Linked DNA regions of Mus musculus: region 2 is reported to be linked to region 1. The links are microRNA targets in miRTarBase. Many come from high-throughput screens and were not tested one by one. Region 1 holds a microRNA gene; the other region holds the end of a gene's coding sequence.
Evidence for each region. The annotated mature microRNA mmu-miR-5130 reads CUGGAGCGCGCGGGCGAGGCAGGC and lies in region 1 at 2,488-2,511, shown strand. An mRNA with a match to its seed (bases 2 to 7 or 8) in the 3' UTR can be bound and repressed. Matches are read on the target gene's strand: a 7mer-m8 pairs with bases 2 to 8, a 7mer-A1 pairs with bases 2 to 7 and ends in A, and an 8mer does both.

Region 1 (4,387 bases):
GAGACTTTCAACAAAGAAGGCAGGGAAGAGAAAGCTGTGGAATAGAGCTGCACTTCATTGAACAGGGTAATGGGCAAAGGGGACCTGGGGAAGGGAAGAAGGAAGGGGTGGGACACAGTGTGGGGGATGACGAGTCATTTAAGGAAAGAGAGAGGGGAAGGGCCAATGGCATGAGAACCCAGCACATTCATTGCAAAGTGTTATGGCATGGGTCAAAGAAGCATGTGTGGGTCAGAAACAAGCAAGCATCTGTCACATCATTAGAAGGACTTTGGTTTTGCTCATGTGTGACGTGGGAAGAAACACACAACACAGGGTCTGACTGGATCCTTCTCTTTGGTCTAGTGATGGAAGACTGATGGGTGCTAGAGTAGAGGCAGTTTGGAGGTCCAGGCAGTGATCTGAGGTGATAATGAGGTGATGTTGGCTTGGTCAACATGAGGTAATGTTGGCTTGGTCTTGAGGGGTGGTGGAGAGGTAGTGACCCTAAGACGGGAAGGATCTTGAAGGGAGACATGGCAGCATAGAACAATGACCCAGTTGTGCCAAGGTGACACTGAAGTCTTTTCTTGGGCTTACAGAAAAGTGGCAGTTTTGTCAGGCCTGAGATGCTGATATATCACATTCAGTGTCGGGACTCGGAACTTTCCTGTCATCTATCATTTATCCCAAGGAACAGTTGAAGAATGGTGAAATATATTCAGTATCAGAAATCTGTGCCTGCAATTAAGCAGGCTGGTCTGGGGCCTGATCTTATTTCAGCTCTGTGACACGAGTGCAGTAATTGTTTGGCAGACATAAACATTTCAGAAATGAAAATGACATTCATCCGTGAGAAGACTATCAAGCTCATTGGACAGTCGCACAAAGGGTAGACATCATTATTAAGACAAAGATCTTTCTGGGCTTATTGTGATTGACAGCCTGTCCTTCAAAGTGATCTGATAACTGTTCAGATGGCCAACCCTTTGCCTCTTGGCTGCTCTAAAGGAGATGTAGGTAGTCAGCCTTGAATTCTCCACAGCCTGATGCCCAGCAACGTATAAGAGCATTTATTAAAATTGTGGTTTTTCAGAGTCTCCTCTATCTTGGGCTTCTTGAAGCCCTTATCTATTTATTCACCAAAAACCAACGATCAGATAACAGACCACAAATTTGAGATTTCAGAACGTGCCAAGTGCAAAGATGGGAATTTGAAGAGCAACCTGTCTCATTCCCCTGGGAGACCATGGAAGGTTTCCCGGCAGTGGCAGAATTCTGTGGGCTGAAATTTGTGCATGACTCCAAACGCTGAACAAGTAGGAGTCCATAGAGAGCATGGCTAAATCTGAAGGGCCTTCAGACCTACACAGCCTTTCTTCTCTGGTGGACGGTCTTGTAAAGTACAGAAGAGAACGATGGAGGGAGGAGGAGAACACGGGTTACTGGACCTTTAGAACAGTTATGCATGGGCTAAAAGTAAATTATTTTCTATACGTGCATTAACATTTCAAGGAACAAATAAAACATCAGCGGAATTTTAGTAAAATAATGAAATACTAGTAAAATCATTAAATACTAATAATACGAATAAAAGAAAATATTAGATTGGAATTTTCTGGTGCGATTTACAGATGGCTGAAAGCAACCGGAGGCCTCACGTCCCACTATTGGAGGCGCTTATTAGCTTTTCTTGCCCACGCAGTGTAAGCCCCTCCCCCCCCCTTTGTGTCCACCCAACTTCCTCTCCTAGTCATTTCTGCTCACTGCAGTACTGTGTTGTGGTTTCCTAACCAAAGACTTTATGCTCTCGCAAAATAATCTAACAGAGCATTTTCGCGAAGCATTCGCTTGTGGTTTCTAGGGATTTTTCGAGGCTATACGCTAGTCACATAGTCACGTGAAAAACCTTTGGGTGGTCTGGACTTGAAGGGACCGGTGCATCCTTTCCAAGTTAGTGTCTCTTCAGAACTTCCAGAGACCCGGGGATGGATCTCCAACAGCAGCGCTCTGCACTGTTAGAAGCGGGTAGGTCTAGAGGGCGCTAGCCGCAGGCAATCAAGCTTTTCCACTCTGCCAGAAAGTTTCCAACCCCTTCTGGAGTCCCCGGGTGCCGGCTGCGGTCAGCCGAGAAGGGCGGCGGGAGGGGAGGTGGGAACACAAGAGGATCGCTTTAGTGATCAGCCTCCTGGAGAAGCGCCTGGAGGCTCTGACCCACTGCGGAAGAGGAAGAGGAGCTGGGCCCGGAGCGGGTGGGCGGACGGGCGGTGACAGTCCGGTCGTCCCCCGGAGCGCGCGGGTCAGGGTGGAGCCTGCAGCCCCGAGCCGCGTCAGCGTTTAGCATGCAAATGCATTCCCCGCTCCTCCCCCACCCCCACCCCGCCCCAGCCCTCCCCGCCCCGGGAGCGAGCTCAGCGGCTCCGCAGCCGCCCACCGCCTCCTGCGCGCCGCGCCGCCCAAGCGGGCGGCTCTACTTAAGCGGCGCGCGGGCCGCGACCCGCCACTCGCCTGGAGCGCGCGGGCGAGGCAGGCGCAGCGCACCGGGGCTCTCGTGGGCGCACTGCTGCGCGCTCGCACCGCGCGGCTCTCAGTGGCCGGCCGCCGCCTGAGCGCAGGGCTCCCCGATAAGAGCCGCTGGGGCTTCCGATCGCGACCCCGCTCCCTGCCACTTGGCCCATCCGGGCCACCTCTTTTTGGCCATGGCTCTGGCGGACAGCACCCGAGGATTACCCAACGGGGGCGGAGGCGGAGGTGGCAGCGGCTCGTCGTCGTCCTCGGCGGAGCCGCCGCTCTTCCCGGACATCGTAGAGCTGAACGTGGGAGGGCAGGTGTATGTGACCCGGCGCTGCACCGTGGTGTCCGTGCCCGACTCGCTGCTCTGGCGTATGTTCACGCAGCAGCAGCCGCAGGAGCTGGCCCGGGACAGCAAAGGCCGCTTCTTTCTGGACCGGGACGGCTTCCTCTTCCGCTACATCCTGGATTACCTGCGGGACTTGCAGCTCGTGCTGCCCGACTACTTCCCGGAGCGCAGCCGGCTGCAGCGCGAGGCCGAGTACTTCGAGCTGCCGGAGCTCGTGCGTCGCCTCGGGGCGCCCCAGCAACCCGGTCCGGGGCCACCGCCGCCGCACTCGCGCCGCGGGGTGCACAAGGAGGGCTCTCTGGGCGATGAGCTGCTGCCGCTGGGCTACGCAGAGCCCGAGCCGCAGGAGGGCGCCTCGGCCGGGGCGCCTTCGCCCACGCTGGAGCTGGCTAGCCGCAGCCCGTCCGGGGGCGCGGCGGGGCCCCTGCTCACGCCGTCCCAGTCTTTGGACGGCAGCCGGCGCTCCGGCTACATCACCATCGGCTACCGCGGCTCCTACACCATCGGGCGCGACGCTCAGGCGGACGCCAAGTTCCGGCGGGTGGCGCGCATCACCGTGTGCGGCAAGACGTCGCTGGCCAAGGAGGTGTTTGGGGACACCCTGAATGAGAGCCGGGACCCCGACCGGCCCCCGGAGCGCTACACCTCCCGCTATTACCTCAAGTTCAACTTCCTAGAGCAGGCCTTCGATAAGCTGTCCGAGTCGGGCTTCCACATGGTGGCGTGCAGCTCCACGGGCACCTGCGCTTTTGCTAGCAGCACCGACCAGAGCGAGGACAAGATCTGGACCAGCTACACCGAGTACGTCTTCTGCAGGGAGTGAGCTCCCCACGCCCGCCCCTCGCCACTCCGGTGCCCACTTCCCTTCCTCCCCTCGGGGGACAGGATTATAGATGCCCTCGCTTCCTCCCTGTTTCCCGATTCCTTCTGCCCCCACCCCCAGATCTCCTAGTAGGTCACCCAGACCCGTCTGCACCCCACTTGCGAATCTGCAGCCACAAATCCTCTGGGCGTCTTCATCATCTTTGGACCCCACTAGCCGAGAGAGTGTTCTGATGTAGCCCTTCACTCATGCTTCCTCTACTCCTGGCCTCCAACCACCCTTCCCCCAGATTGTCGTGATCTAGTGGGACAGTCACCAAGTACCTGGGAATGACTGAATTGATCAGAATCGGATTGCACGGTGTCCGGCGTGCAGTTCGGACGAGTCCTTGACATCTTAAACCCTTTGACTCCATAGCGGTTTCAGAGATCAGAACTGAGAGTGCTGTGTGGAGAGAGTGCTTTAAAAGGTTGTTAGAGATTTGACCCTCATTAGAAAGAGAGTTTTAGACAATTGAATGGTAGACCGTATGCTGGAAGACCCCAAGGACGCAGTTCAGAGACTGTAAATAAAGAGATTTTTTTGTTTGTTTTTAAAGTTACAGGTAGAAGTAAATTCTAGTACTGGCAACAGGGGAGAGTTCTATTTACCCCCAACACATTAGATCTCCTGTGGCTTAAAATTGTAGAAAGCAATCCTCCTGCCTGCGGAGGCGCCCTTTCTCT
Region 2 (4,387 bases), not on the chromosome of region 1:
AAGGAGGAACTGAACATGCTGGGGAGGTGGCTCTCTGAGTATAGTGCTTGCTACTCAAGCACAGGACACGAGGTTGGATCCCCAGAACCCATGTGACAAGCCAGATACAGTGTGTCTGGGGAGGCAGAGATGAGTGGATCCCTGGTGCTCATTGGCTGGCCAGTCTAGCCAATTGGTAAGCTCCTAGATTGAGTGAGATGCCTTGTCTCAAAATGTAGTACAGAGCAATTGAGGAAGAAACGTAATTGAGGAAGGACACCCAGCCTCCACGCTCACACACAGACACATGCTAACTCCACACAAACATGTGCGTCTCACACATACATACATACACACATACATATGCACATACACGCACAGGAGACACTGAAGCCAGTTGGCTTGGAGAGCGGTAGTTAGGTTCAGGCTGAGTGCCCTCCCCATCCAACCCTCCCCTTAGCATGATGTCTCTCGAGCCCACATCCCCTCAGACTGTCTTCTTTCACCAGGATCTTTGGGTTTGTGGCCAAGAGCCAGACAGAACCACAAGAGAACGTGTGCCACCTCTTCGCAGAGTACGATGCGGTCCAGCCAGCTTCCCAGGTCATCAGCCTAGTGACTGCTCTGCTTCAGGACACAGAAAGGATGTAGAAGGGTGCCATCTGTGTGCCTTCTCTGACATCTCAAGGGACTTGCCCAGGACATGGAACTGTGGCCTCCTTGACAAACCTATCTCTTGGACTCAAGTTGGATTGATCAAGTTGAACCCTTTGAACCTGATGTGACTTCAGCAATAACCTTCACCTGACTCTGGAGCCTCCGTCTCTTCGATTATAAAGACACCCGTCCTTAAGACAGCCGCTCCTTGGACACTCGGCTGGAAGTCTTTAGTGTGTTCCTCCATACTACTGAAGCCCACCCACATCCAAGATCCCTTATGTAAAAACTGTCTGCAAGGACCGTCTGGCTTCATTTCCCTGAGCACTCCCTACATGGTAGGTTGTACCAGAGACCTATGACCCCTGCCTTGTGGTAAACAGCAGGTGTTGGATCAGAACCATCGATTTCCTGGCTGGCACCTGGTGTTGATTCGCGGAGTTTGGGGACAGATTCTATTTCCCCACACCTGTTCCTTTTCTCGGTTTGCTGAGGGCCTCTTGGATCCACTGGCCCAGAGATTTAAAAGTTTGGGGTTGAGGATGTGTGTAGCTCAGTTGGTAGACTGATTGCCCTACATGAACGGGACTGAATTTGATCACCAGCCCCACAAACCATTCTCAATGGTCAATGGTTGTAATCCCAGCACTACAAGGCAGGAAGATCATAAGTTCAAGGTCATTCTTATCTATATAATGAGTTTAAGGCAGTCTAAGCTACATGAGACCCTGTTGAGAGAAAGAGACAGAAAGGCATGCACGTGCGCGTGTGTGCACACGCACACACACACACACACACACACACACACACACACACAATGGGAGTGGGATTAAGGTTTTCATAAATCTCAGCCAATGGTCTTCAAAGCCTTTACCTGAAGAGACCACACTCCAACACGGAGCTGGGGGCATCGCTCCACAAAGACCTGCTGTGGGAAGAGGGTACTGAATGGGCAAGAGCCTACAAGGTTCAGTCTATGATGGAGAGGGGACCAGGTCAAGGGCCTCAGCCAGAGCAGACCAGGCTGCCTCAGAGCATACACCTTATAATGCAACCCACTTCAGCTGGCTTTGGGGAAAGGGGCATCAAATTCAGCCTGCCCCAAGGTTGTCAGAGTCAAGTCTGGGAGCAGAAAAGGGGTGAGTTTTCACATCCCTGCATCTTCTGCTTTGCAATGAAGGTTCTGTCGGTGAGGCCTTCTCTAATGCAGTATTCATGATGTTCTCATTCATGTTCTCATTCATGATGTTCATGATCTTGAGATCTATCTGCTGCAGTTTTTTGACTCCTGTCTGGTGGAACATCCTGGATTTCTTGGATTTTTAGGTGTAATTTGCCAAGGTCTTGGAATCTTTTTCCCAAGAGCATGATAGAAAGATCCCTGGACTCTGCTGTTACAAGCGTGGACTCTTGTCTCACCTCATCAATTATTCTGTGATGTTGAATCAGGATTCTAAAGGCTAGCTTTTTTCAGTAGAAGACCCTTGTACCCACGATTAGAAAAGACTCAGCAGGGCCAGGCAGAGGTGGCGCACGCCTTTAATCCCAGCACTTGGGAGGCAGGCAGAGGCAGGCAGATTTCTGAGTTCAAGGCCAGCCTGGTCTACAGAGTGAGTTCCAGGACAGCCAGAGCTATACAGAGAAACCCTGTCTTGGAAAAAAAAAAAAAAGACTCAGCAATGTTCACATTCTTCATGTCTAATCCCTCCTTGCCCACCCATTACAAATGAACATCATCCCAAACTTTGCTTTCAGTTTCTTGGTAAGCAACAGCTGTCTGGCAATGCTCAAGGAATCCACATCTGGTGGGTAGGAGAAGAGAGACCCTGTTGCTATAGTACAGAGACAAGTATATCTCTGCCCCAGCTCCAGTCTTGCTGGATCCTCCTCCAGCTCCAACACACACACACACACACACACACACACACACACACACACTCATAACCATGTGGCATCACCAACCTTACAACCACAAGGGGGAAGCAGAGAGTCAAGCATGCAGACAGGCAGCTTTCCCAGCTGGTTAAAGAAGCTGGGCCCTTTTCCTCCCACACCCTGCCAGCCTTGCATAAGCCATTTGTTGCAGCATTTGTTGCTCTTGGTCCAGTCCGCCTGCCTCCTTAGGAGACCGTTCCATGACATGCAAGGGGAAGCTCACAGAAGAAGCCCACTGTAACTCAGTGTGAAGCAAGTGTTTGTCCCTGCCCGCTATCAGCCTACAGAGCAACATTGTCATTGGCCAAGGTCAGTCCTGAGGGATGATGATTTCAATGTCAGAAAAGCAAATCAGACCCAAGGGTGGGGGTGGGGGGATGCTAGGTCAGTGGTACAGGCCAAGACCGGCCTTCCCAGTGTGGGATCAGGCTCTGTGCCACTGCCGGGGTCTGCAGGGTGTTAGCAAAGTTTTCCCAGTTAGTAGTGCCAGTTCTAGGCTGAATGGGAGAGTCCTCCACAACTCCCTGTGTGCCTCATGGAAAATAAAGTTTTTTGCACCATAGCTGGTTCTGGACATTCAGAGCTGTCTCCTGAGTCCTGAGCAGAGAAGGGGACCCAACAGAGCAGAGAGTAACATACCAGGACACACCATGCGCATTTTGCATTGACCACAGAGGCCAGAAGAGGGCGTTAGAGCGCCCCTGGAGTCACAGACAGTTGTGAGCCACTGTGTGGTGCTGGGAATTGAACCCATTTCATCTTGAAGAGCAGCTAGTGCTGTCAACCACTGAGCCCCTATAGTTGTGTGTGTGTGTGTGTGTGTGTGTGTGTGTGTGTGTGTGTGTGTACATGCATGTTACAGTTTAAGTGTGGAGGTCAGAGGGCACCTTCTACCCTGTTTGAGACAGGGTCTGTTGTCCACTGTATGTCCACCAGGCAAGCTGTCCATGAGTTTCCAGAGAGTCTCCTGTCTATGTTTTCCATCCCCCCACCGGCATTTTGGGATTACAGATGTGTACTACTACTGGCTTTATATGGGTCTGGGGATCCAAGTTCGAATCTTTAATAGTGCACAGTGAGGGCTCTACCCACTGAGCCACCTCCCTGTTGTTTCAGTTTTTGTTTTGGAGGCAGGTTAGTCTGAAACTCAAGGCAATCTCCCTGCCTCAGTGTTCTGCCACCATTCCCAGCTGTGAGGAGCCATTTTTTTTACCAGAAGGGCTCCTAGGTGTTCACTACAATGAGGAGTGACTCTTTTATTTGAGCCCATTCTTCAGATTAGGAAACTGAGGCGTGGGGTGGGGGTGGGGGTGTCACTGGCGTAGTAAGCGGTGGGGAAACTACATTTCTGGTCCATGCCAGCCCTACCTCTCCAGCATTCTTAGACAAGTTAAAAAAAAAAAAAAAAAGTGTGTGTGGGCTGGAGAGATGGCTCAGTGGTTAAGTGTTGACTGCTCTTCCAGAGGTCATGAGTTCAATTCCCAGCAATCACATGGTGGCTCACAGCCATCTGTAATGAGATTTGATGTCCTTCCTCTTCTGATGTGTTTGAAGACAGCTACAGTGTACTCACACATATAAAATGAATAATTTTAAAAAAAAGTGTGTGTATGAAGCAGGGGTATGAAAACATGTGTTACATTCAATGTGGCTACATAAGAAAACGTGCTGCATTCAGCATGATTACATGAGAAAACATGTATTGTGTTCAATGTGGCTATATATAAAGTTCACCAAGGAGCAGATGAAAGAAGCCCAGGGCCATCAGGACCTTCGGTACCTGGTCAGGAATGTCTAGAGAATGTTCTTTGTTTGT

Region 2: miRTarBase lists Tns4 as a target of mmu-miR-5130. Seed matches in the 3' UTR shown: 7mer-m8 at 1,548-1,554 and 7mer-A1 at 2,529-2,535.

What each region holds. Positions count from the first base shown.
Region 1 is chr14:102,980,732-102,985,118 of GRCm38, reverse strand. Mir5130 (microRNA 5130) reads left to right here and starts at 2,487; the gene lies at 2,487-2,570. Kctd12 (potassium channel tetramerisation domain containing 12) reads left to right here and starts at 2,482. Exons shown (of 1, transcript NM_177715.4): 1 at 2,482-4,387. The coding sequence starts at 2,679. The coding sequence ends at 3,662.
Region 2 is chr11:99,064,424-99,068,810 of GRCm38, reverse strand. It overlaps Tns4 (tensin 4), which reads left to right. Exons shown (of 13, transcript NM_172564.3): 13 at 489-3,133. The coding sequence ends at 630. Among named protein-coding and RNA genes, the nearest start is that of Tns4, 23 kb to the left of the region's middle.